Caenorhabditis elegans: one gene and its partner. The protein of the gene in region 2 purifies or fractionates together with the protein of the main gene of each other region. This does not show direct contact. Each region holds a gene or a part of one and is shown on either strand. Other genes may lie near its edges. The genes, in order: ttbk-8.2 and crn-2.

What was found.
Region 1: the proteins of crn-2 (region 2) and ttbk-8.2 fractionate together in Caenorhabditis elegans (co-fractionation; one large-scale study listed by BioGRID). This does not show direct contact.

Annotation. Positions count from the first base shown.
Region 1 is NC_003282.8:5,629,913-5,634,166, reverse strand, and holds ttbk-8.2 (non-specific serine/threonine protein kinase), read right to left. Parts: upstream 2,240-4,254; 5' UTR 2,187-2,239; coding exon 2,148-2,186; intron 2,100-2,147; coding exon 1,980-2,099; intron 1,822-1,979; exon of another isoform or gene 1,801-1,821; intron 1,660-1,800; coding exon 1,214-1,659; intron 1,168-1,213; coding exon 846-1,167; 3' UTR 788-845; downstream 1-787. Other genes in the region: srd-13 (G_PROTEIN_RECEP_F1_2 domain-containing protein), read left to right, coding at 74-349; srd-12 (G_PROTEIN_RECEP_F1_2 domain-containing protein), read left to right, coding at 3,928-4,202.
Region 2 is NC_003283.11:5,592,877-5,596,254, reverse strand, and holds crn-2 (Deoxyribonuclease TATDN1), read right to left. Parts: upstream 1,641-3,378; 5' UTR 1,610-1,640; coding exon 1,414-1,609; intron 1,353-1,413; coding exon 1,097-1,352; intron 1,046-1,096; coding exon 888-1,045; intron 840-887; coding exon 589-839; 3' UTR 510-588; downstream 1-509. Other genes in the region: zhit-1 (HIT-type domain-containing protein), read left to right, coding at 1-83, 136-397, 446-509; mrpl-48 (Small ribosomal subunit protein uS10 domain-containing protein), read right to left, coding at 1,832-1,963, 2,067-2,355, 2,406-2,545; vps-37 (VPS37 C-terminal domain-containing protein), read right to left, coding at 2,738-3,295, 3,348-3,378.

The DNA of each region.
Region 1 (4,254 bases), on a different chromosome or scaffold from region 2:
TTCACTATTTCATCTAAGTCTTAAAATACCGACCATTATATTGGTTATGCTTCTCATAATTTTTCCTTTTCAGGCCCTAACCTATCAAGCAGCAATACCTGGTTTCTACTTGTTCGGAGTAACATCTTATGCCATTGGGCAATTTGGAATTTACAATCATCCAGCTCTTGAATACTTTACATTTTCGTCATTTCTCTTGATTCCACTTCTTTCTCCACTAGCTTCTTTTATTTTTGTTACTCCGTACCGGCGATTTATCATGCACTACTTTTTCAAAACGACTCGTGTTGAACCTGGAGAATCATCTTTAACACGTAATATCTATACTAGCAATGCTTATACTGGGTAAAATTCATTTAAAAAGGTTTTTGTAAATTGTATAAATAGCTTAAAAATTTGTTTACAACAATATGCCAGTTATGAGACAAAAATCGGAATAAATTAATTAAAATTCAAATATATCTCGAAACAAGTTCAAGAAAAATTTAGCCTTTCCAACATAATCAAATATTTTATGATGAAAATCATGGGAAGTAGACGCTGGGAACCTGGAGCCTTGTCTCCTCAAGCAGGCCTTCTCGTTTTGATGCATACATATAGGTAGACCTTATGGGCTCAGCAGGACACTATTCAGAAGGCGCAGGTGAGGCAGGCGGGTGAGGGCCTGCATAGAAGCTCTAGTTTAGCAAGATGAAGTATCTGGTACGGTAGCTAAAAACTTTTGATTGTGCCAGGACCCTATCATAATTTCTATCATTTGTGTTACATAACAAAACAGAAAACTTTTCATCATAATCATTTTTATTTCAATACAAAAAAGGAGTAGTCGATATCAAGTCTATGTTCTAGTGGAGCAAGTAAGCAGCTGGTCCTCCATTTTCCCAATCGTACGGAGCATTCTCGTTGGATCCGCAAGCACCATAAGCTTGACGCATCATTCCGTATATTGCTTGATAGTTGGGTGCATCATAGTATTTCATTGCATCAACCATACGCATAATATCCTGGAATTGTTGTGGGCATGGCGGTGGGAACAGGGTCCCAAGGTTGTTACGGATCGCTTGTTTGGCCTGACCAACTTGGTTCATGTCAGAGATATGTTGCCATGGAATTGTTCCGTGCGACAGTTCAACCTGCATGTACATCCAGGTCTCCAAGTCGTCCTTGCTGAAATTAGAGTCAATTAGATTTGGGATTGGGCTTGAGCACATACCGGCAAAGTTCTCTCTGAAGATGGCAACTGATTGGAGCGTACTTGACAGTTCCACGAAAACCAGCAGCTTGGCGTGGCTTTCTAATGGTTCCATCATTCCCAGTAAACTTTCTGCACATTCCAAAATCCAAAATGTAGACCTTGCGAATCTCGTTCAACTCGGGACGTCCAATCGTGTAATTTCCGGGTTTGACGTCACGATGAAGGTATCCAATGTTATGAAGATCCTCGAGTGCCTCCAACGATTGAATGCCGATTCCAATCGAGCAACCCATCGACATGTGCCCACCGACCCCAGCTTTATTCAAATCTTGAAGCGATTTTCCGACAAGTGTCATTACGACGTAGTTGAAGTTTCCAAAGCGTCCCTTGTCCTCGATCTTACAGAAATGACGATTTCCACGCTTTGAGAGCTCGTTGAGCACAGAAACTTCCAGTTTCAACACCTGAAATTATTCTTAAAGTCTCAGGTGAGAAATTGCGCTCCTACAGGCTTAAATGTAGAAATTGCGCTCCTACAGGCTTAAATGTGGCTTAGGCTTAGGATGGGACATAGGTCTACACGAAACACACATCATATGCGCTCTGTCGAACTCACAATTATTCGAGCGTTGGTTCATTTGCGCTCTAGTGTAAGAGTGAAACTTGAAACCGAACAATTCTAAGATTCTAAGAAGAATGACCGAAAGATTCCGAAAGATAGAAACAAAAACTGTTGCTCAAAAATGCAGAAAAAATTCAAATGAACAATTGTGCTGTGATGTACCTGGATCTGCTCATTGGCTCCTTCCACTTTCATCGCGTATTTGCCGGTTGCGTCGAATACACGGTACACCGCACCGAATCCTCCTTCTCCCAACTTCTTCTCGATGCTCCATCTCTCGACCTGAAAGCTTTGAAATTCGCGGGTCTCGCAGCGAACTCTCTCACTCACCTGTTGTCCGGGATTAAGCTGAATGAGCTCTTGGGCCATCTTGAATGTTCGTCTGACAAGCCGTTTGGTTTTTCAATGAAACTCCAAAATTGTAAGGATTGAATTGTTGGTTTTGAATTTCTGATTTTACCCTGGGGTGATGTTTGGGCGGAGCTTAGATGTGGAGCAAAGATAATGACACGGAGGTGGCCACGTTTTAAACTTTTTTGAAAAAATTATCTTCAATAAAGTTGCAATTAAAGAGATAATTTTTTAATCAATTAAAAAAAAACGTGACATTAAAAATTGAAAAAAAAAATGTTAAAGATGAAAATCATAAAACTGATTTGTTTCTTTTTCTACGCTTACAAAGGCCAAGGAGAGCATATGATACTTATTATTATAGAACGGAGTATAAGCTTATGCGCCTATTTGTTTTCAATTTTTTTATTTTTATTTTAAACCGGAAAAGGCAAAAGAAAAAATGCAAACATTTGATATGCAAAACTTTTAGGTTCAGATATAACAAACCAAAGCTCTTCTTACAGTAATTTTTGAACCCTTTTTGGATAACTTTTATTTATTTTTATAATGCTTTCAGTCTCCAATTTATTGAAATATAATTTTAGCAGAAGTGACTCAGAATTGAAGTTTAAGCACCTTATTTGAAAGTGCTTTATGAATCATTTTCAAAGAAATTCTTTTTAAGAGGTCAAAAATCAGACAATGGTCTGACTAAAGCTATTAAGCACAATGCTTATGCGCTCACTAATGACAGATTACCTAAAGAATGACAGATTACCTAAAATGAGAAATATATAGATAAACGATCATTTTATTGAGAAGGCGTGGAACCGAATGGAGAACAATCGAGAATAAAAACAATAGAGGATGGGATTAGAAAAGCAATATATAATGATTATACTTACCTATAATTTTTAGAAGCTTTTTTATTTCATGCTTTAAAAAATTTGGTTAAAAAATTTTTATTTTTTATTTTTTACAGTTTCAAGAGTTCACTTTATACGGTTTAGTAACCAGAATTTTCGTTCTTCTTTATTCGGTATGCGTTGTTTTTCAAAGGCGAAAAACTAAAGTTTACAATATATTTTTTGCTGTTTTTTTATTGAAAAAGCTAGGAAAACCTAGCCCGCTCAGATAATTATTTTGCGAAAATCTACAGAAATGACTAAAAGTAGCTGAAATTCAAATTCCGTGAATTTTCTAGTTTCATGCTCCGGCAACTATTTAAATGCGTACTAATTTTTGTTCATACTTATCCCCCAATGACGATTTCGCTTTTTTAAAATCCGTTAATTGATGCTCTAGTATATTCGAAAACTAGAATAAATTCAATAGTTTTGATCTCCATTTTCTTGTTTTTTATTTAAAAACTCACGTATTTCGAATAAATAGAGTAATAATCGTATTGTTCTATACAATTCTTCCATAAAATCAAAACACGATTTTTGATTTCGGAACTCTATTATTTACTTGGTTGACAAAATAACCAGGAAAGGAGGTGTTCTAGTTAGTATATTCAGAAGTTTTGAACTTTTATCACACAAATGAGACTTCCTTATTTTAAAATTGTATCCATTATGTAGTACGTTCCAATTAATCATTTTAAATGCATACCCAGACAGGGTACAAAACTTTATAGTTAAATATTTTTTTTTCTTTGAATAAGAAATGTATTTGTATCTCAATATAAAAAAGATTCTTAAATTGTCAACCACATTAGCTCGAACCATTACATAAATACCCTGAAACCGTTTTTTCTTTTTCAGAAATCAAAGTCATGTTTGATTTTGCTGTTCTCTTCTCATGTGCTCATGCCATAATTTCCGTGCTTGGAATGTGTTTCAATGCCTTGTTAGCCTACTTGGCACTGTTCCAAACTCCACGTGTCATCAAGTCATATGCCACGTTAATCGTTAACTTTGCAATAACTGATTTCTTCGCTTGTATGTTTGATTTCTTCGTTCAACAGAGATTAATCCCAACTGGAATGACTTTGGCATACGTTTCCAATGGATTCTGCAAGCATTGGGGTCCGAGAACGTGCTTTTTTGGGTTTGTTTTTTTTTTCCGAAAGTGATGATGGCGCATCAGTCTTTCAAAAGCT
Region 2 (3,378 bases):
TGTCTGGAATAAAAACGCCCCAAAGTTCGACGATGAAATGATCGGTGGTCCGTCTGCGAAAAAAGCTAAAAAAGTGAAAGAAGGTGGGGTTTCCCTAATTGAAGATCAATGTAAACATTATTTAAATTTTTTCAGATAAGTCAGGAATTGTTCATGGTGAAAAAGCGCGTCGACGAAAACTCGCCCGTCCGGAGTTTAATAAGCAACGATTCAAAAAATCGTTCAATGCACATGTAATCGAGCAGAGCAAGGCAATTTTAGACTCAGCAGAGCCGGATTATCGACGAGTGAATGCTTATCAACTAAGCTCAGCACCTCCTTCTGAAAAACCTGCAAGAAAGTTCTGTGCAGTTTGCGGCATTATTTCCAAGTACTGTTGTACGCGATGTGGTGCCAAGTAAGTTTTTTTTTTAATCTGTGATATACATTATACAGTTTCTTTCAGATATTGCTCACTTCCATGTCGAGACGTGCATAATGATACTCGTTGCATGAAATGGTTGGCTTAACAATTTACAATAGCAAACAATACATCATAACAACGGGTTCCACGCAGAAAATAAATATTTTAAAATTTCCAATAAAAAATCATTCTAGTTTGTAAACTTTCTTCGCATTTTCCGTCGTAATCTTCGCAACTTCCTTCGGATCTCGACCGGCAAAAGCAGCGACAAGCTCACAGACGGCTGCTAGAGAACACGGCTCATTCCGATTGAACGAAGAGAAATTGTGAAGCGCTTCGGTTTCCGGGGTAATTAGGCTTTTGATTTCTTTTGGAATCTTTTTATCGTTGATTTTCGGGTACATATAAGGTGCATCAGTTTCAAGAACCAGCTTTTCTGAAATAAATTAATAATTTTAAGAAATAATTCATTTTTAAAAAATACCAATCGGAATTTCTCCAGATCGAAGCCCTGCCTGCACTCCATTATCTGATCTATCTTTCCAGAGGAACCCTGTCAATCCGATGTAGAACCCCATTTCCAAATATTTCTTCGCCTCCACTACGGTCCCAGTGAAGCAATGAATGACTGCGGGTGGAAGGCTGGAAATAAAAATTATAGAACAAGCTGAAAAATTAAGAAAAAAATATTACGAAGGTCCGGCAGCTGTTAATATTTTAACCATATCTTCATGAGCTTCTCTTTCGTGAATGAACAATGGTTTCTGAAGCTTTACAGCCATATCTACTTGCTTTGCGAACACTTCTTTTTGCACATCTTGTGGAGAAAAGTTGCGATTAAAATCGAGACCACATTCGCCAACAGCCACGCAACTCGGGTTTTCTTGTAATTTTTTGAGAGCTTCCAATGTTCCATCATTCCAATCCTTGGCATCGTGCGGATGAACGCCTAGGAATTTTAAGTTATTAAATTGATAACGAGGGCGTGATTGAAAGTTTCGGTAACATACCTGCAGTAAAATACAAAAATCCCGGATACTTTTCAACGAGATCTGCACATTCATGACTAATTTTTTCGCTGGTTCCAGTAACCATAATTTTCGACAACCCGGCTTGCTTGGCACGATCGAGCACATCATTCAAATCCTTTTGATATGAAGGATGACCCAGATTGGCTCCGATGTCGACGAGTTCGTACAACGCCATCCTGGTTATTCTTGATGATATTCCGAGAATTCTGATATGATAACAATTTGAAAATAAGCGTTAAAATGAAGGCGAAAATCGAGAAAAAGGCATTGTAAAGGCAAAAAAGTCCATTGAACAGAGAATATTAATATTCAAGAAAATTTCAAAAAGAATTTATCAACAGCAACAGTGAAAACTAAATGACTATAGGAAGTTATAGACTAAATAAAAAATTAAATTTTACTCCCATCCGAGATTGCGGCGTACATTCGGATCATCCAATGCTTTGAGTTCTTCTTGCTTCTGCTTCAATAACAAATCAGGAATATATCGGGAGTCTTCATCAACTTTCTCGTGTTCTTTCACCGTCATCTGAAGAATATATTTTGATTGAAATAAATTTCATCATATTTCATGTTATTACGACATCGAAAATTGGCTAATTTTACGAAATCTACATTTTTTTAAAACCTACAGTAACTCCAATGGGAATATGTGCTCGAATAATTTGACTGAAAAGTGAGAATCGGGGAGCGGCAACATCACTGAGACGGACGACGCGATCGTATGTGGACATATCAATTTCAGATTCGGAAACCGTCGAGTACGGCTTATAGGTGATTGCTTTTTGTGTTTGAGCAGCGACAGCATAACTATCCACCACGGTAAATCCGAATCGTTTCGCAGTTTTATGAATGTATGCTTGATATTTTTCTAGCGATCCAAAGTCGTGTCCTTGAATTCGGACGTTAATTGTGTTGTACCTGAATTTTTTTTTAAATTTAACAAATTTTTGAGAACTTGGCGAACGTACTCTGGAAACTCTCTACTATCTTGAAATTTCGGCTCGTAGAGCAAACTGGCGTCACGCTCTCCAACAGTTTCTCGTAGCGATGCGAGTCCTCGATTCTGTGAGATCACGCGAGATAATAAGGAGACCGCTCGGGATGACATTCTGCTTGAAAATTCAAAAATATTTTTATAGAGGATGTTGAAAAAATAGTTCAAATAAAAACGGATTCAACCTGAACTTGTGAAAATTTTATGAATTATTCAAGATGATTAATTTATTTTTTCAAATATTTACAAGCGATGACCAGTTTGTCGGAAAAGAATTAAAGAATCTATAAAAGCGAGCGAAAGAATTCAGAAAAATGGATGACGACCAGCAGAAGGTTGAGAAATATTTGGATATCCTGAATAGCCAGATCCGAATTGAATATTTCCTATTCCAGGCATGTGATTTCCTGTTGGGTATCCAGGCTGAGCGTGTGGCATTGGAGGAGGTACAGTTGGTTGAGCATATGAAGAATACGTTTGTTCACGAAGAAGTGCTGCGAGACGGTCAGACTTGATTTTTCGTAGATGAGCAATTGTCTTCTTATCTTTGAATTGCTTCAGGAAAATTTCCACGGATATTTCTCCATTTTCAAATTGTGTGAATAGGGCTTCTGCATCATCATCAGCTTCTTGTGCGGCGACTTGCATCAAGCTCGATGTTGTATCAAGTGATTTTGATGAGGAAACAGAGTCCAATTGACTTTTCAGCACGGCAACTTCTCCTTGGAGCTTTTTTACTTGGTCGTAGAGATCAACCGTTTGCGTTTTGGCAGCATCGATTCTCGGCTTTTGAGCTAAATTCCATTCTGCTAATGATTTATTTGCGGCAAGAGCTGATTCCTTATCAGTCGGCATTGAGCGGACCTGAAAAGTTATCCAGTTAAAATAAATCACCTGCTGAATATTTTTTACAAACCTGCGGGAGATTGACAATAATCGATTCTAAA